2 linked regions of the Anolis sagrei genome follow. The protein of the gene in region 2 binds, or shares a complex with, the protein of the main gene of each other region. Links are inferred from orthologs where the notes say so. Each region holds a gene or a part of one and is shown on either strand. Other genes may lie near its edges.

What was found.
Region 1: the proteins of CFTR (region 2) and GOPC are in contact, whole or in part, in an NMR structure (PDB 2LOB), measured with the Homo sapiens proteins. The link is inferred for Anolis sagrei from reciprocal best matches to the Homo sapiens genes CFTR and GOPC. Residues at the interface, in NP_000483.3 of Homo sapiens: Val1475, Gln1476, Asp1477, Thr1478, Arg1479, Leu1480; in NP_065132.1 of Homo sapiens: Gly298, Leu299, Gly300, Ile301, Ser302, Ile303, Thr304, Gly305, Glu308, His309, Glu317, His319, Thr347, Lys348, His349, Lys350, Glu351, Val353, Leu356.

The regions. Positions count from the first base shown.
Region 1 is NC_090021.1:89,456,730-89,472,035, reverse strand, and holds the start of GOPC (Golgi-associated PDZ and coiled-coil motif-containing protein), read right to left. Parts: upstream 7,652-15,306; coding exon 7,346-7,651; intron 1-7,345. Other genes in the region: nephrocan-like, read left to right, coding at 7,650-7,864, 14,757-14,901.
Region 2 is NC_090025.1:130,799,982-130,815,468, forward strand, and holds the start of CFTR (cystic fibrosis transmembrane conductance regulator), read right to left. Parts: upstream 8,286-15,487; 5' UTR 8,227-8,285; coding exon 8,174-8,226; intron 1-8,173. UniProt on the Homo sapiens protein: Epithelial ion channel that plays an important role in the regulation of epithelial ion and water transport and fluid homeostasis. Mediates the transport of chloride ions across the cell membrane.

The sequences.
Region 1 (15,306 bases), on a different chromosome or scaffold from region 2:
CACACAGTCTAAATGCATGACAAGCTAGCAGGAAATAAAAATACTAAAAAAACTGACTTATCTCTTTGAATGTTTAAGCAGGATTTATTTCCTCTGAAGCAAAGATGAAAAAGGACTGCCATCTGTTCAAAATTTAGAAAATATCTATATTCTCAATTGCAGAAATCTAAGAAGGGGAGTATGTTTTGTTTTTTTTTTAAAGTTACACTTCCTTTCAAAAAAGAATTACAGGCTGAGCATCCCTTATCTGGAATTCCAAAATCTGGATTACTCCAAAACCAAAAATTATCCTTATCGGTAGCTGAGATAGTGACACCTTGGTCTCTGATGGTTCAATGTACAGAAACTTTATTTCATGTACAAAATTATTACTAATATATAATAATATATAAGGTGTATATGAAACATAAATTAATTGACATGGAAGAAGAAGATATTTTAATATAGTTAAACTGGGAAGCCAATATCAACATTTCCCACTTTTAAGCTCTGAAGATACAGACTACATTACAGGATTTTAAGCTCTGAAGATATGGACTACATTACATATTAACTAGTACATAAACAACTTTGAATCACATCACTGTAGATGGCTCTTTAAATATTAATATGAGAATCAGAAAATTAGGATTCAAAACTGGAGGGAGATCCAGTCCCTATGATCCAGCACCCAGTCCTTATTTGCAGTTAACAGTAATCTCAGATTCTCTAAAACTAATGGATTGTTGTTTTTCCTTTAGCAAGAGCTGGAAACATTCTTTTGGTGAAATATGAAGAGTATCTATCTGAAGAAATAAAGCAGCCTAGCGACATTTCATTCTCACACCATCCTTTTCCTGGAAGAAATTTTCTGCACTGTTGTAGAGTCCAAGAACTGTGTAGCGTTAAAACTCCTGAGTGCCACTCACTTCCACAACCTCTGCAACAGCCACTAAATGACTGGAATCAACCTGACACCATTTTCCCAGCATGTTGATACCCATGCCTGCAACTATTTATTATCGCTGTGTTTTAATTATTTTTTGCTTGTTAATTTTAACTAGTCTCTTGTCCATAATTCTGCTTATATTATGGACTTAGTTGCATGATACTGTGATATCACAACAGGTACATTTCCTTTTGAATGCACACACAGAATATTTATCACATTCTTTGCTTTCTGGACTGACAATATTTTTAAGTAAAGAGTAACACTGAAATAGCTGTTATAGCATAAGCTACTTTCTGATTATGAGATTAGTTAATGTGTAGCATTGTTAGTTTTACAATGCATATAACCAGGATAAAAGTATCAAATTAAAACAGTGGCATCTCATGCTTCATTTGAATGCATCTTTTTTATATAATGAATGGAATGGGTGAAAAAGTACAGAGGTAGAAAAAACCAAACCCAAAATTCACAGTCTCGGTATTGTGGTGCCTCTAGGTACTCAAATGATCCTAAAAATATACGGCTCAAAAAGCTCAACTAGTACAAAATTATAAATACTTACACAATGTCACAAACTGTGAACACATTAGACTGCATGTATGACAGATATCAATTTTACTACAACCAGCCTCTCTAAAGCGTTGCAAACACAACTTAAATTTGTCAAAATATTTATTTTATTTTCCCGATGTTACATTTATACCAATTTTTCCCATCAAGTTTTATGCTTTGCTGCAATGTTTGCACACATGCATATTAAAACTGAATTGTCTCCAACAATATATACAGAGTGCCAAGAAAAATAATGTAGCAATCCCATGCTGAAATGATGAACTTCAAAGATGGGAGAAGATGCATTTTAATAAGATGTTCAGCTACATATGACTTCTGGGGAAGACAGAGATAGGAACTCCATTCTAGAACCTTCCAGGTTCACACGGAGATTAAACTGGCTCCCAGATCTGGAAATTCATTACAATAAAGAACATATGTAAAGCTGTATAATTAGAACAATAGTTGACAAAAGCACTGCTCATCTTATGTGGAACTGGCCTCCTCCTCCTCCAAAGTACAAAGTATCCTTCCAGGTACTTTGGATATTGGGAGAGAAAATTAATTTGCTGTGACTTGTGATCTGCTGTCAAAGGCAGAAAGGAGTAGCACTTCAAAATATGCAACAATAAAAAAGATTGGAAAAGGCTGATCTAAATTGTTAATTACCCGAGAGCACCCATTTCTGCATCTGACCTCTTATGTAGTTTGACACCACTGCCATGGCTCAATGCTATGAAATCCTGGGAGTTGTAGTTGGGTGAAACAACAGCAAAGAATGTGAAAGTTCTTTTAAAGCTTCAAGTACAACCCCCACAATTCCACAGCACTGAGCCATGGCAGTTAAAGTGATGTCAAACTGCATTCATTCATTTTGGTGTAGATGGATCCTTAGATTCACATATTTTGAATGGCTTTTATATTTTTCACCTCTCAAAACAGCTTTGTTTGTTTTGGATATGTTCCAGAATTATTATTTACCAAGCTACTTCTTACTTTTTCAAACTCATTCAGTAGACATATAGTGACCTATCTCGGTAGCATATTGACTTTCTTTAACTGCACTTTAAAAACCCAAGAAACACAGTTACTGGGATATGACTATGACTAATACCATAGGTGGATAAACTCACTTAAGGAAGCCACAGCCTTGAGTGGGCAAGATCTGAACTGCAAAGCTGTTAACACTGTGACTTCAAAGTCTCTCATTCATATGGTCACTTGGCAGTTAACAAATATGAATTAGATATGCTCTTTTTCACTAACCTTACAAAAGTTGGCATTTCTGTAGCAGTATTCTTAATACTATAGTTAAATGGAAATTGTTCAAAAAGTTAAGGCATAAGATATATAGTATTAGTAATAAAATAAATATATATGAGAGCTTTTTAAAATGAAAGTTGGAGCAAAGTCAGGATCATAGGGATGTCCCTAATAGGCATAGCCCCATAACTACACATGAAAGAATGCATTCTTGCAACATAAACTTTTTCTGGCTCTGCAAGTATTTACCAAATTATATGAAGGAAGTTCAGTATTGAAATTATACCACTATCATTTTTGCAAATGTATTCTGTCTGCTTATCCTCACATCACTGGAAAAACTTGAAACCTACTTAGAATTTCTGAGAGTATGTATTTTAGATCAGATTTTGGACACAGTAGCTTTCATATATACAAAGCTCTTTAGCATGCTTTCTTCAAGGTCCAACCTGGACATCTTGGTACATGAGCCCGAAATTCAATCAGCATCTCCACTCTTACTTGAAAAACACCCATTTCATATAGTGTGGGATGCTTGTTCTTTATGTTTAGTACCCTCAACAGTATTCAATAATAATCTGCAAGTGACAGCCCCATATTACTTCATGATATAGCTGACCACGTTTCCCCCAATACTGGGTTTTTTATGCTTTATAAAAGAGCACACCAAGTCATATCACATTGCTTGTCAGGACAAATAACTTAACCATCAATTACAATCATACCTGTTCTGATTAGCAGAGGTCCTCCAGGATCTCAGGAAGAAAGAAGACAAAATTTTCCATCCCCTGATACCTAAAGTTTTAACCGAAGATGCTAAGAACTGAACCTGGGATGTTTTATCTACAAATGCACTTGCTCTGCCACTGTTCCATGAATAAGGCAGAGAACTTCATTTTAATATTATTAGCAATTCAAGACTACATCTAAACCTTTATTTCAAAAACTCCAAATCCAAGTGGAGGGGACACTTTTTATTATACAGGTTGACTATCCCTTATTTGCAATTTTGAATTTTGCAGTAATATGTTTTATCTGGGTGTTTTAACTGTGTTGTACCCCCCAAGAGGCAGCTAACAAATAACAGTTATTATTATAATTAGAACAAAATAAAAATACTCCAAAATTCAAAATCATCCACTGTGATACTTTTGCTTCCATGTACCCAAACTTTGTCTCATGCACAACATTATTTAAGATACTGTGTATACAATTATTTCCAGGTTATATATACAATGTATATATGAAATACTAGTGAATTTCATGTTTATACTTGGGTCCTATTTTGAAGATATCCCATTATGTATATGCAAACATTCCAAAATCCAAACAAATCTGAAATATGGAACACTTCTGATCCCAAGCATTTTGCGTAAGTGATACTCAACCTGTACATATTTTGAGGTGGGAAAGCATGAAATCTTAGTATGATACTTGTATCTAAAATTTACCTCCCCTTTTGAGTCTCCAACTCACAATATCCAAGCAACAAAGTTTCAGAAACCTTGGACCCAGGCTTTTTCAATTCCAAGGGCAACACTTTTAAGCACGACAAAGCCACCACACTGGACAATTAGTTGTGTTTAACAAACTAAATTCCTATAAGTTTATCTCCCCATAAGTTCTTTGTCTTTAGGGTGCCACTGGCTACTTAGATGTGGTCAACACATTGTCTTCCCTTAGCTATGGCCAGATTAGACCAATTTGCTCACCAATCAGCTACTCATGAAAAATGTATATAAGGTATCTTTTAATCCCATTTGAAGGGTTGAAATGAGATGGCGTGTTCTCATGGCCTTGCTTTGCCATTAAACACCAGCAGAAGAAAATGAACTCCTCCCTATGACTTGAGGTGGAGTGGGGGAACAGAGCTTGGGGTTATTACTTTTGGGGCCTGCAGCTCCCAGAATTCCCCACCTTCTGGAGCTTGTATTCCAAAAAGCAACTTTTCGGAGCTGTGAAGAAAAGTCATTTTCCTTCTGCACATTACTTCTTTCACGTATGACTCCTACACCAACATCCCATTTCCTATTCCTCTCATCCCGGAACTGAACTCGGGCAGCTATTCTCTGCTTATTCCTTCCCCTTGAACTTCATTCACCTCTAATCATCTTTAATGTCTAAAAACATGAGACAATTTTCATAAAGAAGAAGGAAAATATAATGATATTTGTGGGCTTTGGGGATTAAGCTTTACCTGCTTTACTCAACAGGCAGAAGTTGAGACTCTATGCTAGATGGTACTTCTGCTTGGGACCAGAAGTGGTTTTTGTTTTTTGTTTTTTGGATTTTGGAATACCTGCATATGTATATGCATATGCACATACATACATGATGAGACACCTTGATAATATGACCCAAGACAAAACCCAATACCCATTTGTCCCTTATCCAAAATGCTTGGGGACAGAAGTGTCTTGGATGGATTTTTTTATATAAGGATATTTATACAAGATATTTTAAAATAATTTTGTGTATAAAACACAGGGAACAAAGGTGTCACACTTTCAGCCACCCATGTGGACAACTTTGGAGTATTTTGGAATCCTGTAAAACCTTTTAATGAGAAGATGATTATGCTTTGGGCTGGAGAGTGAGAAGTCAATTTTGAATTCTGTGCATTAAGAAAGAAGGGTTGTGAAGCATTTTTTCTTCATTTTCCCCCTTCCCCAACACCATCCTATTCCACATCACTTCCCTCCCTCATTTAAATATCTATTTTATTTACTTATGAAAATCTTAATTAAAATATTGTTTTAAAAAAGCAGACCTTTAAACTGTTAGAGGTCCAAGTTTGGGTCCAGGCTATTTGTCTAATCATATCTCCCCATACAGACCATTCCGTGCACTGTGGTCAGCAGAGGAAGCCCTCCTCTCAGTCCAACCCCTATCACAAGTGCAGTTGGTGTGAACAAGAGGGAAGGCCTTCTCCATGATCACTCCCTATCTGTGGAATTCCCTCCCAAAAGAACTAAAAGTAGCACCCACCCTCCTCTCCTCTTGAAAACGCACATGTGCACTTTGGCGTATGAAGAGGAGGAGGATTAGGACAGTCCTAACCTATTCCACTGCTGCTATGGTATATGAGAAGAACAACCTTGATAGTCATTTTAATTGCCTTTTCTAGGATTTATGTCTAAATGGTTAATTTATGTTAGCATTATAATTAGTTTTATTCGATTATTTGTATTTGGTCCTTATTTTCCTGTCAATTTCTCTTTTGTCATAAGTTTATGGTTATTATTTTGGTATTAATCTGTTGATTTTAAAATGTTTGTATTTGACTTGGGCATTGAATGTTTGCCTTTCTTGTGTGTAAACCACCCTGAGTCCTATTGGGGAGAGAGGGTGGTCTACAAATAAAGTTTTTTTTTTTAAAATATTATTAGCATGTCAGCCGCAGTGTGTAGGTGTGTCACACAAATGTAATGAGAAAGTTCTGGGTCAAGGTGAAATAAGCAATGAATCATATCTCAGAGAGAGAAAGATGTTCATGAAATATGTTGTGTCCCTATACATTTGAGCCAACAATGTGATGCGGCGGGAGAAAAAAGCCAATGGGTTTTTGGCCTGCATAAATGGGACTATAGTGCCTAGATCCAGGGAAGTCATGCTACCCCTCTATTCTGCCTTGGTCAGACCACACTTGGAATCACACTGTGTCCAAGTCTGGGCACCGCAACTGAAGGGAGATGTTGATAAGTTGGAGTGTGTCCAGAGGAGGGGAACTAAAATGATCAAGGGTCTGGAGAACAAAACCTATGAGGAGCGCCTTAAAAAGCTGGGCATGTTTAGCCTGAAGAAGAGAAGGCTGAGAGGAGGAGCATGTATAAATATGTGAGGGAAAGTCATAGGGAGGAGTGAGCAAGCTTGTTTTCTGTTGCCCTGGAGACTAGGACACGGAATAATGGCTTCAAACTACAAGAAAGGAGATTCCCCCTGAACATGAGGAAGAACTTCCTGACTGTGAAAGCTGTTCAGCAGTGGAACTCTCTGCCCCGGAGTGTGGTGGAGGCTCCTTCTTTGGAGGCTTTTAAACAGAGGCTGGGTGGCCATCTATCAGGGGTGCTTTGAATGCAATTTTCCTGCTTCTTGGCAGGGGGTTGGACTGCCAAGAGGTCTCTTCCAACTCAATGATTCTAAGATTTCACTATTAACAACCTATATATGTGTCACTATCTCTTATAACAGGCATGGGCAAACTTTGGCCCTCCAGGTGTTTTGGACTTCCACTCCCACAGCCGGTGGGCTGTTAGGAATTGTGGGAGTTGAAGCCCAAAACACTTGGAGGGCCAAAGTTTGCCCATGCCTGTTATAACCTCCAGTTTGTGAATAAAACTGAATTACTGTGTCGCAAAATTATGTTGGCAAAAAAAGTGTACCATCTCCTGAAAAGTTTGGAAGGCTCTGCTCTAAAGGGTGCTGTTGCCACTTAACATGATCTGTGGGGAGGTGCTTGGTTCGACCCTGGTGTTTGTATTTCAATGAAAGAGGGGTGTGGAGGGAGCATCAGGGGGACGGGTGGGCAGCGTGTGTCAAGCGTTTGGTTCCTCGGAGGAAGCCCCCGCGTGAGAGACTGAAAAGGGAAGGCAGCTTCACCTCGAGCTTGTGGTTGATCTGGGAGACGGTCTGGGCCTTGTGGCAGAGCTGGGCGAAGCAGGAGCTGAGGCTGGTCATCTTCTGCCGGCCCTCGTAGGTGATGTCCGCCTGGTCCGGGTCGATCTCGCCCAGCAGCAGGTCCACGTCCACGAAGGCCTTGTCGAACTCCTTCTCCAGCACCTCCAGCCACCGGAACATCGACAGGCCGCCCCCGCCGCCGCCCCCGGGGGACGAAGCCGACGAGGAGGCCGCTGCCCCACCGCAGGCCCCGGGGCCCGCCCCCCCGCAGGAGCCCCCGCCAGACATGGCGCCCCACTGGTGCTTCAAGCCTCTCCGCCAACTCACCCACCCACTCACCGACCCACGGGCCGCCTTGGCCTCCCTGCGCCTCACTCCCTCACTCGCTCGCTCGCGCACTCCCCACGGCGCATGCGCGGGAGCGGCGGCTCCTCTCCTGTCAGCCGGGAGACCCCGAGCGAGCGATTCCCTCGCCTGCCACAACGGAGACCCGCTGGCCAGGTGGGACGGGCCGAGCTCCGAATCATCGATCGGTCGGGAAGCTTCCCTTCCTGCCTCCCTCCCCTGCGGCCGCAAGGGGCGCTGCTGCGCAGTTTGAAGGGGCGGCTCCAACCAACCTTGGGTCCTCTGTCTGTTTAGAACTTCAACTCCCAGGATTCCTGGCAATTGGCAGTGGTGACAGGGGCTTCTGGGAAGCGAAGTCCCAATCAGCAGGAGGACCTGAGGTTTTCTCAACCTTCCTAATGCCGCGACCCCTTAATACAGTTCCTCGTGTTGTGGTGACCCCCAACCATAAAATTATTTTTGTTGCTATTTCGTAACTGTAATTTTGCTATTGTTATGAACCATTGAACCATAGAATCACAGAGCTGAAAGCCTCAAGGAATTCATTGGGTGTCCTAAGTTAACAGATGACTAAGTTAACATCTATCTTGGACAATTCAGAATCATAGAATCCTAGAATCAAAGAGTTGGAAGCGACCTCGTGGGCCATCCAGTCCAACCCCCTGCCAAGAAGCAGGAATATTGCATTCAAATCACCCCTGACAGATGGCCATCCAGCCTCTGTTTAAAAGCCTCCAAAGAAGGAGCCTCCACCACACTCCAGGGCAGAGAGTTCCACTGCTGAACAGCTCTCACAGTCAGGAAGTTCTTCCTCATGTTCAGGGGGACTCTCCTTGTAGTTTGAAGCCATTGTTCCGCATCCTAGTCTCCAGGGCAGCAGAAAACAAGCTTGCTCCCCCCTCCCTATGACTTCCTCTCACATTCTTATACATGGCCCTTATCATGTCTCCTCTCAGCCTTCTCTTCTTCAGGCTAAACATACACAGCTCTTTAAGCCGCTCCTCATAGGGCTTGTTCTCCAGACCCTTGATCATTTTAGTCGCCATCCTCTGGACATATTCCAGCTTGTCAATATCTCTCTTCAATTGTGGTGCCCAGAATTGGACACAGTATTCCAGATGTGGTCTAAGCAAAGCAGAGTAGAGGGGGAGAATGGCTTCCCTGGATCTAGACCAGGGGTACTCAAACTAAGGCCTGGGGGCTGGATGCGGCCCTCCAAGGTCATTTACCCGGCCCTCACTTAGGGTTAACCTAAGTCTGAAATGAAAGCACACAACAACAATCCAATCTCATGAGCCAAAAGCAGACCCACACTTCCCATTGAGATACTAATGAGTGTATATTTGTTAAAATTGTTCTTCATTTTAATTATTGTATTGTTTTAAGTGTTTTTTGCACTACAAATAAGATATGTGCAGTGTGCATAGGAATTCATTCATATATATTTTTCAAATTATAATCCGGCCCTTTAACAGTTTGAGAGACTGTGACCTGGCCCTCTGCTTAAAAAGTTTGAGGACTCCTGATATAGACACTATATACCTATTGATACAGGCCAAAATCCCGTTGTAAATATCTGATATGCAAGATGGATTTTCATTCACTGGACCAAATTTGGCACAAATACCTATTATGCCCAAATTTGGATAGTGGTGGGGTTGGGGGGGGGGGAGTAGATTTTGTTATTGGGAGTTGTAGTTACTGGAATTTATAGTTCATCTTCACTCAAAGAGCATTCACTTGGCACACATAACTCCCATGACCAAGAGAAAATACTGGAAGGGTTTTGTTGGGCATTGACCTTGAGTTTGGGAGTTGTAGTTCACCTACTTTCAGAGAGCACTGTGAACCCAAACAATGATGGATCTGGACCAAACTTGGCACAATTACTCAATATGCCGAAATGTGAACACTGGTGGAGTTTGGGGAAAATAGACCTTTGGTATTTGGGAGTTGTAGTTGCTGGGATTTATAGTTCACCTACAATCAAAGAGCATCCTGAACTTCACTAATGATGGAATTTAACCAAACTTGGCACACAGAACTCCCATGACCAAGAGAAATTATTGGAAGGTTTGATGGGCATTGACCTTGAGTTTTGGAGTTGTAGTTCACCTACACCCAGAGAGCACTGTGGACTCAAACAATGATGGATCTGGACCAAACTTGGCACAGATACATAATATGCTCTGGTGGAGTTTGGAGACCTTGACATTTGGGGGTTGTAGTTGCAGGGGTGTATAGTTCACCTTAAGAGAGTGAAGATGAAAAATGCTCTTGATTTTTCTGGTTGTCAAAATGGTGATTTGCTATTTCTGGAAGGTTCCATGTGAACAATTCACTCCATTTTGTGGCCAAAATGGGTGTCACAAGGGATCTGGAAGACCAGAGGAGTGACACACATCTTCACACATCACAGTGCTGCCTCAAAGCGTGGTGGTATTTCTTTCTCGTAAGGTATTAAACAGAGGCTGGATGGTCATCTGTCAGGGGTGCTTTGATTGTGTGTTCCTGAAAGCAGGGGGTTGGACTGGGTGGCCCTTGGGTAACAACTCTATGATTCTGTCTAAATTGTAACTAAAGTAGCTGATGTAATACATCAGCATTTCCCCAACGTACCCAGGGCTGTAATCATATGTGCCATTCTATCATTGCAAACTTTCCTAGAAACTTGCCACAGACCAGTAGCTGATATCTCATAGGTCAGCAGTGCTTCATAGACCATTATTTTCAGTAGCACTAATCTAAAGAATGGAGCCCCCGGTGGCACAGTGGGTTAAACCCCTGTGCCAGCAGGACTGAAGACCGACAAGTCGCAGGTTTGAATCCGGGGAGAGGCGAATGAGCTCCCTCTATCAGCTCCAGTTCCTGATGCGGGGACATGAGAGAAGCTTCCCACAAGGATGATAAAAACATTAAATCATCCTGGCGTCCCCTGGGCAACGTCGTTGCAGACGGCCAATTCTCTCACATCAGCAGCGACTTGCAGTTTCTCAAGTTGCTCCTGACATGACAAAAAAATATATATCTAAAGAATGGTGTGAAAACCTCCTATCGCAAATGGTCCAGAAAGCTCTGAAGACTATAATCACACCTTTTTGCTCTGCCATGTGTATTAGTCATGCTCCATTTGGTCTTCTAAGGTAAAGGTAAAAAGGTTTTCCCCTGACATTAAATCCAGTCGTGTCCAACTCTGGGGGTTGGTGCTCATCTCCATTTCTAATCCAAAGAGCCAGTGTTGTCCGTAGCTGGCTTGACTGCATGGAGCGCAGTTACCTTCCCACCGGATCGGTACCTATTGGTCTTCTACAGAAGTGGTTCTCCATATATTTTGGACTTCAGCTCCCAGAAGCCCCAGCTAGCATAACTTGTGATCGGGAATTCTGAAGAATGAAGTCCTAAACATCTGGAGGACCAAGGGTTGAGAACCACTGTTCTCCAGCATTCTCTAAGTGAAGCCTGTTTAGAATTCTCCATTTGGCCACAGACTTCTGGACAAGCTGTTGATCAGGGCCAGTTCCAAATGTGATTCGCTTGGTGTGTCAGCTACACTGGCTATCCAAAGCTTTGAAAAGTTAGACTAGGGAAACTTAAATATTCTAGAAATTTATCAAAATAAGTGTTTTCCCCCAGATATTGCTATTTACAGACACAGTTATGATGTACGTATGGTTCACCTATAACCCCCTGAACAATCTGGGCCAGGCTACATGAAAGGCAGCATTCATTCATACAAACCTGGTCAGATTTTGATTCCAGTGGGATGTGCCCATTGTCTATGAGCCATGAGAGGGGCAGTTGTTGGGGAAGAGTAGGTCATCTCACAATGGCCATTCCTTGTTGAAAGCGGCATGCTCTCTCTCTTTTCTTTGTCCTTCTGTTGGTAGAAAGAAAGCCCTTTGGCATTTCAGTTATTTATTGGCTGTAGGGACCGCTAACCAACTAAATTATCATTTATTGTTATTGCTGTGTTTTTATTGCTGAATTTGCTTTAATTTAGATGAGTATTTTATTATTTCAGCCACCTTGATTACCAGTGTTGGTGGAAAGGTGGGTTATAAGCCAAATAACAGATGATAAAATGAAGTACACTGTGATATGTTTTGAAAAGTTAACGGAACTATGCACTGTCCCCTTGAGACAGCTTAGATGTCAGCTTTGGTTTATCCAGGGCAATACTTCACTGGATTACCAACAAAGCCACCTAGTGCACCTGCTGTGAGGAAATCAGATTTCCTCATTACTGGGAACATAATATTGAATTACTGAGGAACTGGCACTTTCCTTCTCCACATGTACTAGATTATCGTCATATACACCTGATGCACCAGTGGAAATTTCCTCCTTTCTATCCATGCCACTTAAAAAAATATGTGGAGTTATTTTTTGGACTAATGCAAGTCCAATGTTGGACTATTACAAGTCCAAATGGTATTGGACTTGTGCTAATTCAACACTATTTTTGGACTAGTACAAGTTTCCATTTTTCAAAATATTTTTGTTGATTGAACATCCTTAACTCTATTAGGAAAATAAATGTTAAGTGCAATTATTTGAAAGGGGCTACAAAGTCCAGCAAAAGTAATCTCCTCCTCTTTCACCCCCATCTTCAACACCAACCTTTTTGCTTGGAATGCAACAAGGCCGAGGAGAGAATGCTTTAAAGTTTATCTTTAAGCGACTTCTGTGGGAGAAAACACATCAAAGCAACTAGTCAATGTCACCATAAAAGATCGCTTAAGAAAAAATACAGTATTACAAACACTGGATGGAGTCAGAACACAAAACTGCATTTTAAAGTTCTGCTACAGTCAGGTGTGCATTGACTGCAACCTTAAGCAGATGGATGGGAGGCGTTAAACATTCTGGAATGCCTCCCTGTTGCTCTGCAGGCTAGTGAGACAGTTCAGTTCCTCTGAATTGTTCTTTCCCTTTGAATTTTTGTTCTGCCTTTGTGTGTAGAGGGGTGCAGCATTTGTTCTTGATAAGACAACAAAATCCTGTTCATAAAGAATCACTGGTTGAAGCTGTGTGACAAACACTCTCATGTAATAAAGATTTTTATCACTGACAGGTGCAATTTGGTCAAATACCAGAATCCAAGGACAAATCCCTGTCAATTTCTTTTAAGTACATTGTGTTCTCTGAAATCTCACCTCAATTCAGATAAAAACTCCTATACTGACCTTCAGATCCTGTCATTAAAATAATCCAATATGACTTATATTACATTTTTGTCTTTATCAGAGGACTTCTAAGCCAAAGTTTTCAGCACAGTGCATTTATTTATTTATTTATTTATTTATCGTGTCAGGAGCAACCAGACATTTGCATTACAGCACAGTGCATTAAAAACACAGAAATCCACTGATTTTTTAAATAAACATAAAGCAACAAAAGAATAATGTCAAACGTAAAGAAAACACAGCAAAGTTAAGGAATTTTATCGAATGACAGCTGGGAAGCAGACAAGGAGCACTAATATTACAATGCAGTGAATTCCTCTAAATCAGTGTTTCTCAAACTCTGCTCTGTTTTGGACTTCAGCTCCAAAAATCCCAGCCAGCTTACCAGCTGTTAGGAATTGTGGGAGCTGATGTCCAAAACATCTGAAGGAGTACAGTTTGAGAAACTCTGCTCTAAATCATTACAGACTGAAACAGCAGATCAAGATGGTAATACTGTACATTATTAAGAAGTGGAGATGGGAAGTTACTGTATTCTATGTGGGATCAGCCCAAAAGAGAAAGAGGAAAACATACCATTGTAAAAATAACAAAAATGTGCTAAAATGGCAGGTGTGCAACCAGGATCTACTTAAACACGACTGTTCATAACGGTTGCAATACACTGATCTGGACTATGGCATAAAAATGTTGCCTATAGGAAACTGCTCATTTGCTTTGGTGGCAGAGCTACTGACATTTATATCAGGCATTTCTTCAGAAGAGTGTCATGTCAGCTGGTACAAGATAAGCAAACTGTGGTCATTCAGATGCTGTTAGATACAAGTCTCCCCAATCCCTTATCATTGGCCATCCAATGGTTGCAATCTGGAGGGATGTGAGGAGAACTGCGTGGAGCAATAACTTGGTTTTTATGGACCATATGGACCAATCATTGAGGGCAAAGAGGAGGCTAAAAGTAAATCCATCAGAGTTATGGGGGGTTTTTTTTGTTTTGTTTCCTTGAGCCAATGGCTCAACAGAAAGCAGGGCAGCAAGTACAATATTCCCCATGGCAGTAGTTTGATGGTATGAATGGCCTCACCACTGGATTGCTGTCTGTTTCAGAGACAGCAAAGGTGCAAGAATGGAAACAGACTTAAGCAGCCTATAATATAGTCATACTTGGGTCAGTGAACGGATGCACAGTGGGTGACTGTGAGACAGTGAAAAAGAGGGTAAAGTTATCTGAGCAACAGATTTATCCAGGAGACAATATCAACTATGAGCTTTAATCAGTTTTAAAAATTCATTTCAGCAATGACTATTGTTAAACTATGGGAAAGCATATGTGAAACAAAATAAGTGTTCTTGTTTTTTCTGGATCATTTAACTAAGAATGAATTAACTGGGTGCTTCAGAGTATTTTTTCCTGGTGGGTTTTGAATATCCAAATATTTTATAGCCCACTATAAAAGAACTCTTTATCTTTTCTCCCAGCTCCTTCTGTGATGTCACATTTAGCCAAATGAGGAAACTACCGATAATGGAAGTGTTTGCAGATTACACATCGGGCAATAAATAAGATCAATTTCCCATGCCAGACAAAATAAAGATTCCTTATCATTGTTTAAACTTTTTGCTCTTTGTGACACCTGCTAATATTTTAACCCACATAAGAGATGGTATTTTCTGCTTCCCCCTTCCCTTAAAAAAAAAAAAGAACACACAGCTGTATTTATCTTTTTATCAGGTGTTATGGTATAAAAGACCACATGGTTGCTTAAGTTCATGTTGCAGTTCATAGCTAGCTGGTTGAACTGAAGGATCTTTAGGAAAATGAAGCAATTTTATCTATTACTACTTTTGTTTCACTTTTACAGGGCTGTCATCCCCATGTGCCCACGAAAATGCAGCTGTGACTTGGCAAGAAGGGTACAATGCTACCAAGTTGGAGAAATTCCTAGAGGGATTGCATCTACTTCCAGAAGAATTCATATCAGCCACAGCAAAATAAAACGGCTCCAGGTAGAATGGTTTCTTCTCTCTTTCTCCTCCTCCCCTCCCCATTTCATCTATTCTTCCCTTTCATTTGGTTAGGTAATTAAGAGTTACATACAAAGTATATCATTATGGTAGGGGAAATTTAAAGGGTAAAGAGACGTCTACTTCTTAGCTTCTAAAACAAGGGAGGGAAGTTCCTCCAGATGTTGTTGGGCAGCAAGTTTAAGTAGCCGCAGCCAGCAAAGGTAATGAGTAATGCTAGGAGTAGCAGTCCACAGCGTTTGGAGAACTCCATGATTCTTGCCCCTATTTTAAGAAATCAGGAACCATGTTTTTCTCCCATATAGTAGGTCATGACAGACCTACATCCTCACATAGCCACATGTTATCAAATTTAGTACAACCTTACTTCTCAGTGGACTGGACTGG
Region 2 (15,487 bases):
TTTGCCTAACTTTGAAGGGTTTGTGTGTGATTTGAAGTGTTGGATTTCATCTAAAAGGCTTTTCATGTCTTGGGACCTCAGTACTGAATGCAAGACGAGGACTCCCACCAAATACCAGATGCTTCCGTGGATGTGGTGGTTTGTACTTAGGTGCTCTGTGAAGAACACATCCAAAGTTCTAAGAGAAGTCTTGCGAGTTCTGCAACCAGTAAGTAACTCACAGAGCGGGGAAAGCACAGCTATAGTCTAATGTTCCAAAACAGGAATTCCAAAATAGTCGTTTTCCAACATAGGGATTCTCAGTGTGGCACTTTATGTTTTCAACTTGTTTTATTGTTCTATGTGTTTTATCTCCTTCTGTGTTTTAATTGTTTTTAGTTTGTTGGGGTAAATTTTTATTCTTATGCTTACATTGAATTTGCGGCATTGAATTTTTGCCAGAATTTGTAAGCCGCCTTTAGTCCCCTGCGGGGTTATTTATTTATCGTACCAGAAGCAAACCAAGGGTACAGTTGAAATGTATTTAAAAAACACAAAGTTTGCAAACTTGCCATTATATTAAATGTCCTTTGACCAGTACCTGGCTACTTGGAGTGCCTCTGGTGTTGCTATAAGAAGGTCCTCCATTGTGCTTGTGGCAGGGCTCAGACTGCATTGTAATAGGTGGTCTGTAGTTTGCTCTTCTCCACATTTGCATGTTGTGGACTCCACTTTGTGGCCCCATTTCTTAAGGTTGGCTCTGCATCTTGTGGTGCTAGAATGCAGTCTGTTCAGTGCCTTCCAAGTCACCCAGTCTTCTGTGTGTCCAGGGGTGAGAAAGGCAGGGTATAAAGGAAGTAAATAAATAAACACTCCCTCCCTTATATGCCTACTTGTGCCTTAAGGTCAACCTTCATTGAGTGCTTCTTGATCTTCTTCTCAGCAAATGGATGTTAGAGCAAGGTCCTTTTCTGTAGGGGCCCCTGGTTATGGAATGTTCTTCCCAGGGGAAATATGCCTAATGCCAACACTGTTGCTTTTTGAGACTTCTTGCATCTTTGCTATTTTAATTGCGGTTATATATTACTATTATAACTGTTTTATTTATTCTCTGGTTTCAGCTTCCATTTTTTGTGCTTTATAAGTTTTTGCATTATATGTTCATGAGACTGGGTTTTGTACTTGGAGTTGAGGTGCTGGGTTTGGGCCTGCCACTTTTGGACTCTCGCTTGCTGGGGTGTTCCAGCGAGTGTCTCTGTAGATCTAAGAAAACTATGTCTTGATTTAAGTCGTTGACGTGCTGGCAATGCACCCTGAGCCCTGCCACATGCACAATGAAGGACCTTCTTGTGGCAACACCAGAGGCACTCCAAGTGGCCAGATACTGGTCAAAGGACATTTAACCAACTACCAAGTTTGCAAAATCTGTGGGTTTTTTTCTTTGTCTTTTTAACCTGTGTGTTTGTTAGAATTGTAACACAATGGTATGGTTGCTGATGACATGATAAATAAATAAATAAAATACTTGGAGCTTGGATTTGTTATGTTATTAACTGATCACGCACTTTGGCCTTTTCTGCGCCTGTGTAGGTATGGTTGTTCATGAGCAAAAGTAAACAGGTGGATGTTTTTCCCTTTCTTTCAATGCATGCTTGTGTGTGGAATAATGATTCTAATCTCTAATTGTATGAGCACAGAAATGGGGATGATAGTTGTTTTGAGTTAATAAAGATCATAATCATATAAATGTGCCCTTAAGTTACATCATGTACCTTAGTATTAGCCTTTTCCTAGAATTGCCACCCTTTATCTTGGCACACGTGGACCAATTAGTTCCTTGGTGTGTCTGGAAGGTAAAACCAATCCAGAGATTGCTTGTCTCCTGGCATTTACACACAAGCAGAAAGCAAACTGCTTGGAAAGGGCAGCAATTAAAACCTGTAAATAGCTGAGGACATCTGAAGAGTCCAAATGTGTCAAACTAGAGGCCTTTCTAGTCCAGCATCCTCAGAGCCCAGCCAGATCTCTTCAGAAAGCATATCCATAGCTCTTGAGGCAACGTTCTCCCACTGAGCACTCTTTGGGAACTATTATTTACTGACATACTGATTTCGTATAGCCAACTTTACCATGGCCTATAAATAGAGCTTTCCTTAATTAAGATAGCTTATCAAGAGTCAATCACTTCTGGACTACATATGCCATAATCTTCCAGCAGGAGTGGCCAGTATTCATGCCACTTGTTATTTCTGGATCTTGTAGGATAACATTTTCCCCAAGCTCTGAGTGTATCCCCTTTTAAAGCTATCTTGTGACCTTTACCACATTTTGTGTCCATGAATTCTATAAATGAACACCAGGATATAGCAGTACTTTCTCAAGCTTGTCTTGAACATGCTGCCAATCAATTTCACTGCATGACCCTGAGTTCTAGTGTTATGACAGAATGAGATATACTTCTCCTTTCCTCCATACCATGAAGGACAAAAGACTCAAGCTATCTCCCTGCCATATGACAGAGTTCTGCCCGGACTATTTTGGCATTGATGCAGGGTTGGAAATCAAATGGTTCTCCAGATGTCGTTGGAGTACAACTCCATGCAGAAAAAGGCTGGGAGTTACAGACAAGGTGTAAAGCAGGGGTCCACAAAGTAAGGGTCACGGGCCGGATGCATCTCTCCAAGGTCATTTACCTAGCCCACGCCCTAAACTTTACACTTAGGGTCACCCTAAGTCTGAAACAACTTGAAGGCATCATCAACAACAAACCTGGTTAACTTGACTTTCTCATAAGCTAAAAACAGCCTCACACTTCCCATTGAAACACTGGTAAGGTTAAGCTGGTTAAATTGTTCTTCATTTTAAATATTGTATTGTTCTTTTAGGGTTTTTTTGTTTTACACTACAAATAAGATATGTGCAGTGTGCATAGGAATTTGTTCATGTTTTTTTCAACCTATAGTGCATACTTTAAAAGTCTGAGGACCCCTGGTCAGGCATGTAGCCGGGGGGGGGGGGGGCTCAGGGGGCTTCAGCCCCCCCCCCCCCCCAAAATTTTCATGGTGGTTCGCGAAAAGGCCTTATTGGTGCATTATTTAAACTGTTACGTTTATTCATATCATGATCTGATCACCATACTCAATATATCCCATATGCATGGGGATATTGGGGTAATGATACAAAAGGTTTGCTAGGCTAGACCCTCTTTCACTCAGACTCAGCCCCCCCCCCCCTCCGAAACTCAGCTAACTATGAGAGATGTTCAGCAGTGGAGCTCACTGCTTCAGAGTGAGGTAGAGGCTCCTTCTTTGGAGGCCTTTGGCCATCTGTCGGGGGTGCTTTGAATGCAATTTTCCTGCTTCTTTGAAGGGGGTTGGAATGGATGGCCCATGAGGTCTCTTCCAACTCTATGATTCTATGATCCCACTTTTGGGAGAGGGCAAACTATCACTGAAACATCCTACAATCTGGAGAGCAATGTGTAATTAGAAGTGCTGTTCATGAATTCAGGGTAACTTACCCTGTAAGTTAACAAATAATGTTTCACAGACAACCTTGATTACTCCTACAATAGCCTTCTTAACATTTCGTAATGCTAAATCATTTAGTATACTTCTGACTGACAATTCCTGAGAAGGCTCAACTGGATGGGAATCTTGATGGTCCAATTTTTGTTAGATAATTCAAGGGAGCTCATCCCTCATCCCCTAGTCTAGAGAAGGAGGAATCAAGCCCCTCTTGCCCAGTATGTTCCAGGAGTCTGTGGAACTTGCAGCATCAATGGCACATGATTCCTACCTCTAGCTTAAAACAGAAATCACACACAGGATACTCAGGGAACTTCATGCAAGACCATGATATGAGAGCCACTTTTCTGACATTCAGCCACCTTTGAGTTGGCATGATGGAAGAACACCTGAAAGCCCCTTTCCTCTTTACCTTGATGTCTCAGGGTCATCTACACTGTAGAAATAGTTTGGTTTGACACCACTTCAACTGCCATGGCTCAGTGCTTTGGGATCATGGAAGTTGTCACCTCACAAGGTCTTTAGCCTTCTCTGTCAAAGAGGACCAATGCCTCACCCAACTCCAACTGCCAGAAATCCATTGAGCTATAGCAATTAAAGTGATGTCAAACTGCATCAATTCTACAGTGTAGATGTACCCTGTGAAAGAAATAAGATGACATACAAACTGTACTAAAGAACTTAAGATGAACTAAAAAAAAGCTTTGGCTGCAGCCCCTCTTACAGCTTTATTAAAATTATAGAATCATAGAGTTGGTAGAGTCCACAGAGGACATCTAGTCCAATCCATTGCTCCAAGTCCTAGAGTTCTTCCACATTGCCCCTGTATTCCAGGATCTGATCCCAGATTATCTGGCAGTGGAGACAGATATATTCCAGTTTAAAACAGATAATCTGGGACCCGATCCTGGAATATAGGGCAGTGTGAAAGGGCCCCTAGTCTCCAGAACATCAGAAAACAAGCTTGCTCCCTCCTCAATGTGACATTCTTTCAATTATGTAAACATGACTCCCCTTTCTGCTTTCTTTTCTCTAAGCTAAACATACCCAGCTCCCCAAGATGCTCCTTATAGGGCTTGGCTTCCGAACCTTTGATGATTTTAGTTGCCCTTCTCTGGACACGTTAGCTTTCAACATCCATCTTGAAATGTGGTGGCCAGAACTAGATGCAGTATTCCAGGTGAGGTCTGACCAAAGCAACATAGAGAGGGACTATGACTTCCCTCAGTCTCCATGCTATACTCCTATTGATGCAACATAGAATCGCATTGGCTTTTGTAGCTGCCACATCACACTGACTCGTGTTCAGCTGGTAGTCTGCTAAGGCTGGATCTACACTACCATTTCATACAATTTCAAAGTGCAGATTAGCTGCATTGAACTTGATTACATGGCAGTGTAGACTCATAAAATCTGAAACTGCATTATATGGCTGTGCAGATTTTAAGACTCCTAGATCTCTTTCACATGAACTGTTTTCAAGCTAGGTGCCACCAATCTGTGACTTTCATTTTGTATTGGAATAGCTCTCTTATCTGTTATGGTTATGGTTCTGATCCAAAGTGACTTTAGATTTGACAACAAGGTTCCCTATGGAACAAGAAATGCAGACTGGCTTGCATTCATCCCATGTCCAAGCTGAGAACTTGGAGCCCTTTGCTGAGTCAATCCCTGATGAACTGTGGTCAGGATTCTCCTTTTTCAGCTGGATCTACACTGCCCTATATCCCAGGATCTGATCCCCCATTATCTTCTAATCCCAGACTATCTGGCAGTGTAGACTCATATAATCCAGTTCAAAGCAGATAATATTATGTAACAAAATTTGAAAAAAAATCTGTTCCTGGTTTTTGAAAGTGTTATTTCCCATTTAATTCTGCGGTAGTTACTTTGTTTTGTTTTTGTTTCCAGTTATCTTTTTTATTTAATTTTTTTAAAATGACAATAATCGAACTTCTATTATGTTTTCACACTGTTGGGTTAAGCTTCAACATTTTTACCAGTACTTTGAAAGTAGTTACTATTTTCCAGAAACTTCATTTTTGTGGCTGCCCCAAAGTGTGTTGAATTAGTTGAGACTTGATGAGATATTCATTGAAAAACTATAGCAAAATGTGCTGCAGGATGTACTTTTCCATGTTTGTATGATAGAACCAATGAGAAAATGACCTTTATAACTTCAGGAACAAAAGATTGTGTTATATAGCATAATCTGGGATCAGATCCTGGGATCTGGCCCACTGTAGACCAGGGGTCCTCAAACTTTTTAAACAGAGGGCCAGGTCACAGTCCCTCAAATCATAATCCAGAGGGCCAGATTATAATTTGAAAAAAGCATGAATGAATTCCTATGCACACTGAACATGTCTTATTTGTAGTGCAAAAAACACTTTAAAACAATACAATAATTGAAATGAAGAACAATTTTAACAAATAGAAACTTATTAGTATTTTAATGGGAAGTGTGGGCCTGCTTTGGCTGATGAGTTAGGATTGTTGTTGTTATGTGCTTTCAAGCTGTTTCAGACTTAGGTTGACCCTGAGTGAGGGCCGAGTAAATGAACTTGGAGGGCCGTATCTGGCCCTTGGGCCTTAGTTTGAGGACCCCTGCTGTAGACCAAGGCCCCTTCTATGCTGCCATATAATCCAATTATCAATGCTGATAATCCACATTATCTGCTTTGAACTGGATTATATGAGTCTACATTGCCATATAATCCAGTTCAAAGCAGATAATATGGATTTTAGGGGGTAGTGTAGAAAGAGCCCTAGCCTTTGGGCTCTGTGTCAGAATGAGCAAGGAGTACATCCCGCAAGTGAGCCAAAAGGCAATTTATACCAAAGGTGAACTTGAACTTGGGGAGGGATGCTCAATAAAACTGCATGAATTTGAAAAGTATGGTTTATTCTGGATCCCCACTGCTCTATACCCCAGGATCTGATCCCAGATTATCTGCTTTGAATTGGATTATATGCTTCTACATTGTCAGATAATCTGGGATCAGATCCTGGGATATAAGACAGTGTAGATCCAGCCCCAGCAGCACCTGCCAGCATTACAAAGCATCAGTGATGAGAGGGAGCAAAGGGCACTGAGAAGAACCAGGGCAAGGAGTTGATGGAAGAGGAATCTCTCTCCTTTTTTCCTTCTCCTTCTCCTCAGTGATGAGAGGGAGCTAAGGGCACCGGGAAGGAAGGGGGGAAGGAGTTGATGGAAGAGGATTCTCTTTCCTTCTCCTTCCCTTTCTTCTCCTTCTCCTCCTTTCTCCTTCTCAGTGATCAGAGGGCACTAAGAGCACTGAGAAGGACAAGGGCAAGGAGTTGATGGAAGAGGGCTCTCTCTCTCCTTCTCCTTCTCCTCATCCTCCTCCCCCTCCTTCTGAGTGATCAGAGGGAGCTAAGGGCACTTAGAAGGAAGGGGACAAGGAGTTGATGGAAGAGGGCTCAATCTCCTCCTCCTCCTCCTCCTCCTCCTCCTCCTCCTCCTCCTCCTCCTCCTCCTCCTCCTCCTCAGTGATCAGAGGGAGCTAAGGGCACCGAGAAGGAAGGAGGCGAGGAGTTGATGGAAGAGCTCTCTCTCCTTTCCCCCTTCTTCTCCTCCGTCTCCTCCTTCTTCACTTTCTTAGTGATCAGAGAGAGCTAAGGGCACTGAGAAGGACGGGGCAAGGAATTGATGGAAGAGGACTCTCTCCTTCTCCCTCTCCTCCTCCTCCTCAGTGATCAGAGGGATCTAAGGGCACTGAGAAGGAAGGAGGCAAGGAGATGATGGGACTCTCTCTCCTTCTCCTCCTCCTCCTTTCCCCCTTCTTAGTGATCAGAGGGAACTAAGGGTACTGAGAAGGAAGGAGGCAAGGAGATGTTGGGACTCTCTCTCCTTCTCCTTCTCCTTCTCCTCCTCCTCCTCCTTTCCCCCTTCTCAGTGATCAGAGGGAGCTAAGGGTACTGAGAAGGAAGGAGGCAAGGAGATGATGGGACTCCCTCTCCTTCTCCTCCTCCTCCTCCTTTCCCCCTTCTTAGTGATCAGAGGGAGCTAAGGGCACTGAGAAGGAAGGAGGCAAGGAGATGATGGGACTCTCTCTCCTTCTCCTCCTCCTCCTCCTCCTTTCCCCCTTCTTAGTGATCAGAGGGAGCTAAGGGTACTGAGAAGGACGGGAGCAAGGAGTTGATGGAAGAGGACTCCCTTCTCCTTCTCTTTCCCCTCCTTCTTCCTCTTCTCCTCCTTCCCCTCCTCTTCCTCCTCCTCCTTCACCTCCTCCTTCTCCTTCTCTTCCTACTCCTTCTTCACTTTGTTCTCCTCCTCCTCCTTCTCCTCTTTCTCCTCTCTCTCCTCCTGTGGGAACCAACCTCCTCTTCCCTCTCCTCCGGCCAACTGTTTCCAGGACTGACCTATCGGCATTTGGCCGCTCTTTGCCAAGGCCAGCTCCCGATGAAGCAGGAGGAGATGGGAGGCAGCCCCGCGCTCCTCCCAAACAATCCATAACTTCGCTTCGGACAATGCTATTCCCATTCCTTTGGACAACACAAATCCCTCCTCAAAGCGCCCCTGAGAGTCGGGCAAAGGGCTCAAGGGGTGATGCTTGCTTCCTTGCCAAAGCGAAAAGGATCAGTTTGGGGGCGATCTCCCCCATTTCTTTCTTTCTTTCTTTTTCCCCCCAAGCCCCGCTCACCTGAAGAACAGCTTGGAGAACACGTTCGCCTTCTCCAGCGGCGACCTCTGCATGGCTCCTTCTGCTTCGGAGGCGGCAAGAGGCGGAGAGGGAGAGCTGGCCTTCGCAGGAGGAGGAGAAGGAGAAGAAGGAGAAGGAGAAGGGTTTTCGGCGCCCTATGGGTCGCGCTTTTCTCCCCCCTTAAGGCTGGCCGAGGTCCCCGCCTCCCTCTTTCTCCTGCCCTTCTCCCCGCCTCTCGGACTCCGCCGGGCTTCAAAAGCCTGCCCTCGCCTGCCCGCCCCGAACTCCTCCGCAGGAAAGCGCCTCGACAGGTGCCTCTCGGGGCTGAGAAAGGCGCTCTTGCCTCTGCCTCCTCCTCTTCTTCTTCCTCCTCCTCCTCTGCCAAGCCTTCCCGGTGCAACCCCATGGAGAGCTTTGCCAAGGCTCTTCTACATTATGCTCACCGGCAGGCTCAACACATCAACAGTTCTTTCCTCTCGTGATACCTATGAAAAGATCAAGGTCCCAGAACCCTGTTGGAAAGCATTGCCAAACTCAGTACAGGTGGATATTGTGGCAATAGTGCACTCTTGATGCCATTTGAACTGCTATAGAATTACACTAGTATGTAACACAATTCAGACATGTGTTGTCGAAGGCTTTCACTGGGTTGCTGTGAGTTTTCCGGGCTGTATGGCCATGTTCCAAATGCATTCTCTCCTGACTTTTCGCCCACATCTATGGCAGGCATCCTCAGAAGTTGTGAAGTCTGTTGGAAAATAGGCAAGGGAGGTTTATATCTCTGTGAAAGGCTCAGGGTGAGAGAAAGAACTCTTGTCTATTGGAGGCAGTGGTTCCCAACTACTTGACCAAATACCACTTTGTGTCCCCAAGGAACCCTTTGACCAGGGACCACTTGAGCAGGGACCTCTTTGATCAGAGACCACTTTGACCAGGGACCACTTTGACCAGGAACCATTTTGACCAGGGACCACTATGAGCAGAGACCACTTTGACCAGGGACTACTTTGAACAGAGACCACTTTGATCAGGGACCACTTTGACCAGGGACCACTATGAGCAGGGAGCCCTTTGACCAGGGAGCTCTTTGACCAGGGACCACTTGACCAGGGACCACTTTGACCATGGACCTCTTGACCAGGGACCACATTGGTCAAGGAGCCCCTTGACCAGGGCCCTCTTGACCAGGGAGCTCTTTGACCAGGGGCCACGTTGGCCAAGGAGCCCTTTAGCCAGGGACCGCTTTGACCAGGGACCACTATGAGCAGGAGCCACGTTGACCAGGAACCACGTAGACCAGGGAGCCCTTTGGCCATGGATCACTTGGCCAGGGACCTCTTGACCAGGGACCACATTGGCCAAGGAGCCCTTTGACGAGGGAGCCCTTTGACCAGGGACCACTTTGACCAGGGGCCATGTTGCCCAAGGAGCACTTTGACCAGGGACCACTCTCCAACGTTAGTACCAAAAGGGTTACGAATCAGTTTTTGGTCAACTTTAGATTCAGTTTGAGGTGCTGATTCAGAAAACTGCATAGGATAGACCACATCAGCTCTAGTTTCTGATAAAAAAATATGCCATAGTTAACGACAGGGAAGGAGTGGCAGGTGGCACGAAAGGAGTGGAAATAGAATAAATAAATTAAAATAAAATAAATATAGAGGAAGGAGGCTCGCAGACTGGATTTTTGTCCATGCGGCCCACTGGTGGTCTGCAGCCCACAGGTTAAAATCCACTGATTGGAAGCAAGTGTGAATATTGCAATTAATCATCCTGATAAGCATTGCAAAGCCTTGCCACTTCAAGGCCTTGCTGATTCATGCATGTGAGGAATCCTTTGTTCGGAGGTGTTAGTTGTTTCATGTCTGGATTTCCCCTGTTTTCTGAGTGTTGTTCTTTATTTACTTTCCTAATTTTAGAGTTTTTTTCTAATACTAGTAGCCAGATTTTGTTCATTTTCATGGTATCCTCCTTTTTATTGAAAGTATCCACATGCTTGTGGATTTCAACAGCTTCTCAGTGTAGTCTGACATTGTAGTCTGTCCTTTGCTACATCCAGCAAAGGACAAGAGGGATCGTCTCACCTATGCAGGGGCCTACCATATACCATGCAGCTGTGGACAAGGTTACATAGGGACCATCAAACACAGCATTGCCCAGACATGAAACATGAAAGGCACTGCTGATTACCTCAACCAGAGAAGTCAGCCATAGCAGACCACCTGATGAACCAGCCTGGATACAGCATATTATTTGAGAACACAGAAACGCTGGACCACACCAACAACCACCATGTCAGACTACACAGAGAAGCCATTGAAATCCATAAGCATGTGGAAAATTTCAACAGAAAGGAGGAAACCAGGAAAATGAACAAAACCTGGCTACCAGAATTAAAAAACTCTAAAACCAGAAAATATATAAAGAACACCACTCAGAAAACAGGGGAGTTCCAGACAGGAAACAATCGGAGCCAGCTAAGATCAGATTACATCTCCATATGCCTGAGTGCATAAGAAAGTTTGTATTTGTTTCCTAAAGGAGGACAGCAACGGGGCAACTCTGATCTCCTTCGGGAGGGAGTTCCAGATGTGAGGGGCAACTACAGAGAAGGCCCTCTCTCTCATTTTCACCATCCGGGTTTGAGATGGGGGTGAGAACAAGAGGAGGGCCTCCCCTAAGGTGCAGTTAGCCCGGTAGTCTGGACCCGAACCGTTTTCTAGGTGCTGCAGAATAGAGTGGTGCTGTGAATTTCCTTGATCACAACACTACTATTGATGCAGCCTAGAATCGTATTGGATTTTGTAGCTGCCACATCACACTGCTGCCTCATGTTCTGGTGGTAGTCTGTTAAAGCTGCATCTACACTGCCATCTCATGTCATTTCAGAATGCAGATTTTATTTATTTACCGTGTCAGAAGCGAGTTGAGGGTACAGTAAAAATGCATTTAAAAACACAAAAAAAGTTTTAAAATGCTAAATGTCCTTTGACCAGTATCTGGCCACTTGGAGTGCCTCTGGTGTTGCTATAAGAAGGTCCTCCATTGTGCATGTGGCAGGGCTCAGACAGCATTGCAATAGGTGGTCTGTGTTTTGCTCTTCTCCACAATCACATGTTGTGAACTTCACTTTGTGGCCCCGAAACAGAGCGCAGCCTGTTCAGCGCCTTCCAGGTCACCCAATCTTCTGTGTGCCCAGGAGGGAGTTTCTCAGCCACTGATTAAGGTGTTGGGTTTTAGCCTGCCACTTTTGGCTTCTCATTTGCTGAGGTGTTCATGTGAGTATCTCTCTCGCTCTAATGAATGCAGATTGGCTGTATTGAACTTGATTCTATGACAGTGTAGACCAGTATTTCTCATCCTTCCTACTGCTGTGACCTCTTAATACAGTTCATCATGTTGTGGTGACTTCCAGCCATAACATTATTTTTGTTGCTACTTCATAACTGTAATGTTGCTAGTGTTATTAATCATAATGTAATTATTTGATATGCACGATGTATTTTCATTCACTGGACCACATTTGGCACAAATACCTTATACGCACAAATTTGAATACTGGTGGGGTTGAGGAGGGGTTGATTGACTTGTCATTTGGGAGTTGTAATTGCTGGGATTTATAGTTCACCTACAAACAAAGAACATTCTGAACTCCAATAGTGATGGAATTGAGCCAAACTTGGCACACAGAATTCCCATGAACAAGAGAAAATATTTTAAGGGTTTTGTGAAAATTTTGGAGTTGTAGTTCACCTACATCCAGAGAGCACTGTGGACTGAAACAATAATGGATCCGGACCAAACTTGGCACAGATACTCAATATGCCCAAATGTGAACACTGGTGGAGTTTGGGGAAAATAGACCTTGACGTTTGGAAGTTGTAGTTGCTGGGATTTATAGTTCACCTACAATTAAAGAGTATTCTGAATCCCACCAACAATAGAATTGAGCCAGACTTCCCACACAGTACTGCCATGACCAACAGAAAATAGTGTGTTTTCTGATGGTCTTTGGTGACCCCTCTGACATCCCCTCACAACCCCTCTGGGAGTCCCAACCCCCAGATTGAGAAACACTGGTGTAGACTCATAAAATCCGGTTCAATGCAGTTAATCTGACATTCTGAAACTGAATTGTATGGCAGCATAAATCCAGCCTAAGATTCCTAGATCCCATTCACATGAGCTGCATTGGAGGACTCAAAAAGATGTTCTCTTAGATTAAAATATATATATAGGGTTTGTAAAATTAAAATTGTAATCTTTCCTCTTTCATAGGGGTACTGTGCCCCTAATCCCAACAAATAGGAAGGTCTCACTGTATAATATAAGGCAAGATTACAAAAAATAAAAACCATCCACATTTACAACCTATAATTATGAACACTACAAATTACATGAACACCATACACCAAATTTAGCACACCATTAAACCCAAGGAGAAAGACAAATGACATCTGACTTCTGAACTAATGATTATAATTACTAAATTATCATACTTTCTCTAGAATATACTTTAAACAAGCTTCTGCACATTATTTAATTCTGCTATTCTTCTGCTGTAGATAATTTCCCTCAATAATCCATCAGAAAAACAAGTCAATTCCCAATCCTTATTAAAACTATTTAATGACTTTTCCTTAATCAAAACTGTCAATTTGTCCATCTCAGTAAGGTCATACAACTTTATTAAGCAGTTTCCTTCTGATGGGATAGCTGGGCTATTTAATTTCTGCACCTATATCAACCTACTGAGTATTCTTTCACAACAGAGAGAGATATTCCATGCATAGCTTAGAAATATGCATGTCTAGGGTGATTTTCTTTTACCTGGCTTGTTTTTACTGGCTTTTGGGTCCTTTTGGCTCCTGTGCTTATCTTTTATCATTCTAATTTTTTAGTTTGTGTCTGGCCACCCATGGCACAACTGAGCTGCTGAACTTGCTGACTGAAAAGTTGGCAGTTCGAATCTGGGGAGAAGGGTGAGCTCCCACTGTTAGCCCCAGCTTCTGCCAACCTAGCAATTCAAAAACATGTAAATGTGAGTACATCAATAGGTATCGCTTCAGCAGGAAAGTAACGGCGCTCCATGCAGTCATGCTGGCCACATGACCTTAGAAGTGTCTATGGATAATACCGGCTCTTCAGCTTAGAAATGGAGATGAGTGCCACCCCCCAGAGTTGGACACAACTAGATTTTATGGCAAGAGGCAATCTTTACCTTTACTTACTTTACTTTGTCTGGCTTTACAAAGGTGAGTCCCTTTTGCACCCAGTGTGCAAAATTTTCCATGTGTTTGCAGTCTAATAAACCCTTCAGATCCCACACATTTCTGTATAGTGCAGTGTATACTAAAGTGGGCCTTTGGTACCCAATGGATACCAAAATCTATGGATGCACAATACCATTATAAAATGGCTTAATAAAATGGTACTCCTTATATAAAATGGCAAAATAAAAGGGGTTCGTTTTGAACTTCGTGTCATACTCAGTTAGGAATATAGGAAGCCAAGTCAGACCCTTGGTCCACCTAGGTCAATAATTCCTGCACATCATTTTTGTGAAATATTGTTTCCTATGCAGAACATATTTTTGGCTGTGTTCTCAATAAAAAAATTCTATTTTCTGCACAGCAAATGCTGGTTTCTGTACAAAAAGGTTGTGAATTTTGTGCAAATAAGTCCAAAATTGCAAATAGCCTTTCAAAAACTGCATGGTATTCAAAGTTTTTCTTTTTTTAAAAAAATTATTTACATACAGAAACGGAATACGAAACAATGAACGTTTCACAAACACATAACCCTACCACCAAGGCCTGACCAAGTATCATTTTCTTTGCCATAAATTTGTAAGTCAACCATTAAACAAATGCCATATCCAAAATTCCTGACCACCAAGGTTGTATTGTTTTCTTTGTTCACTCTCTATTCAAAAATTTTCTTACAATGAGAAGAAAATTGCTGAAATTACTTATTGCAACTTTTAAGAAGAAGTGTAGCGAAACATTAAATCCCTATTCTGCTAGTTGTCTTATTTCAGGGAGTTTGTTGGTTTTATCTAGAAGCAAACCTCTCACATTAAACCCTGCGATTATACTTACAGAGGGCTTTCAGACAAACCTTGTATTGTGCAACCTATTATATTTCATTCACAGAATTTTGCTCGCTGTTCAGACATTATCTTTTATTTGTAATCTGTGTTTTCTCACTGCTTATTTTTCTTAGCACAAGAAATCCAATAAGACAGGAAGGATAAAATAGCTGTCTAGTGTCTTTTAATTCACTCAACTTGAAGCTTCATGTCTAGAAGCATCTCAAGGCTTTGCCACAGGATCAACAACAACCACAAGCCACTTATTTGCAGAACATGACAAATTTACAAGGCAAGTAACTACCGGACTAAGCCCATGTGAAACGAGTGAGAAGCACTTTCAGTCCCTCTACTAGTTAGAATTTCAATGTTGGCAAGTTGGACTTATGGGCCCTTTGATTCCTCAGACCAGTGGTTCTTAACCTTCATAGTGCCGCAACCCCTTAATACAGTTCCTCATGTTGTGGTGACCTTCAACCATAAAATTATTTTCATTGCTACTTCATAACTGTCATTAAGCTACTGTTATGAATTGCAATGTAAATATCTGATATGCAGGATGTATTTTCATTCACTGGACCAAATTTGGCACAAATAGTCAATATGCCTAAATTTGAATACTTGTGGGTTTGGATCAAGGGTTGATTTTGTCATTTGAGAGTTGTAGTTGCTGGGATTTATAGTTAACTTACAATCAAAAAGCATTCTGAACTCCACCAACAATGGAATTGAACCGAACTTGGCACACAGAACTCCCATGACCAACAGAAAATACTGGGTTTGGTGGGCACTGACCTTGGGTTTTGGATCTAGAGAGCACAGTGGACTCAGACAATGATGGATCTGGACCAAACTTGGAACAAAAACTCAATATGCCCAAATGTGAACACTGATGGAATTAGGGGGAAATAGATCTTGACATTTGGGAGATGTAGTTGCTGAGATTCATAGTTCACCTACAATCAAAGAGCATTGTGAACCCCACCAACGATAGAATTGGGCCAAACTTCCCACACAGAGCCCACATGACCAACAGAAAATACTGTGTTTTCTGATGGTCTTTGGCGACCCCTCTGACACCCCCTCCCCCCATGACCCCTCCACTGGTCCTGACCCCCAGGTTGAGTAACGCTGCCTCAGACATTTTCTGCTGTTTCAAATGCCTCCAGGGATGGCAAAATCCATCATTTAAGCACTATTTAACATCAAAAATACTTTTTTTT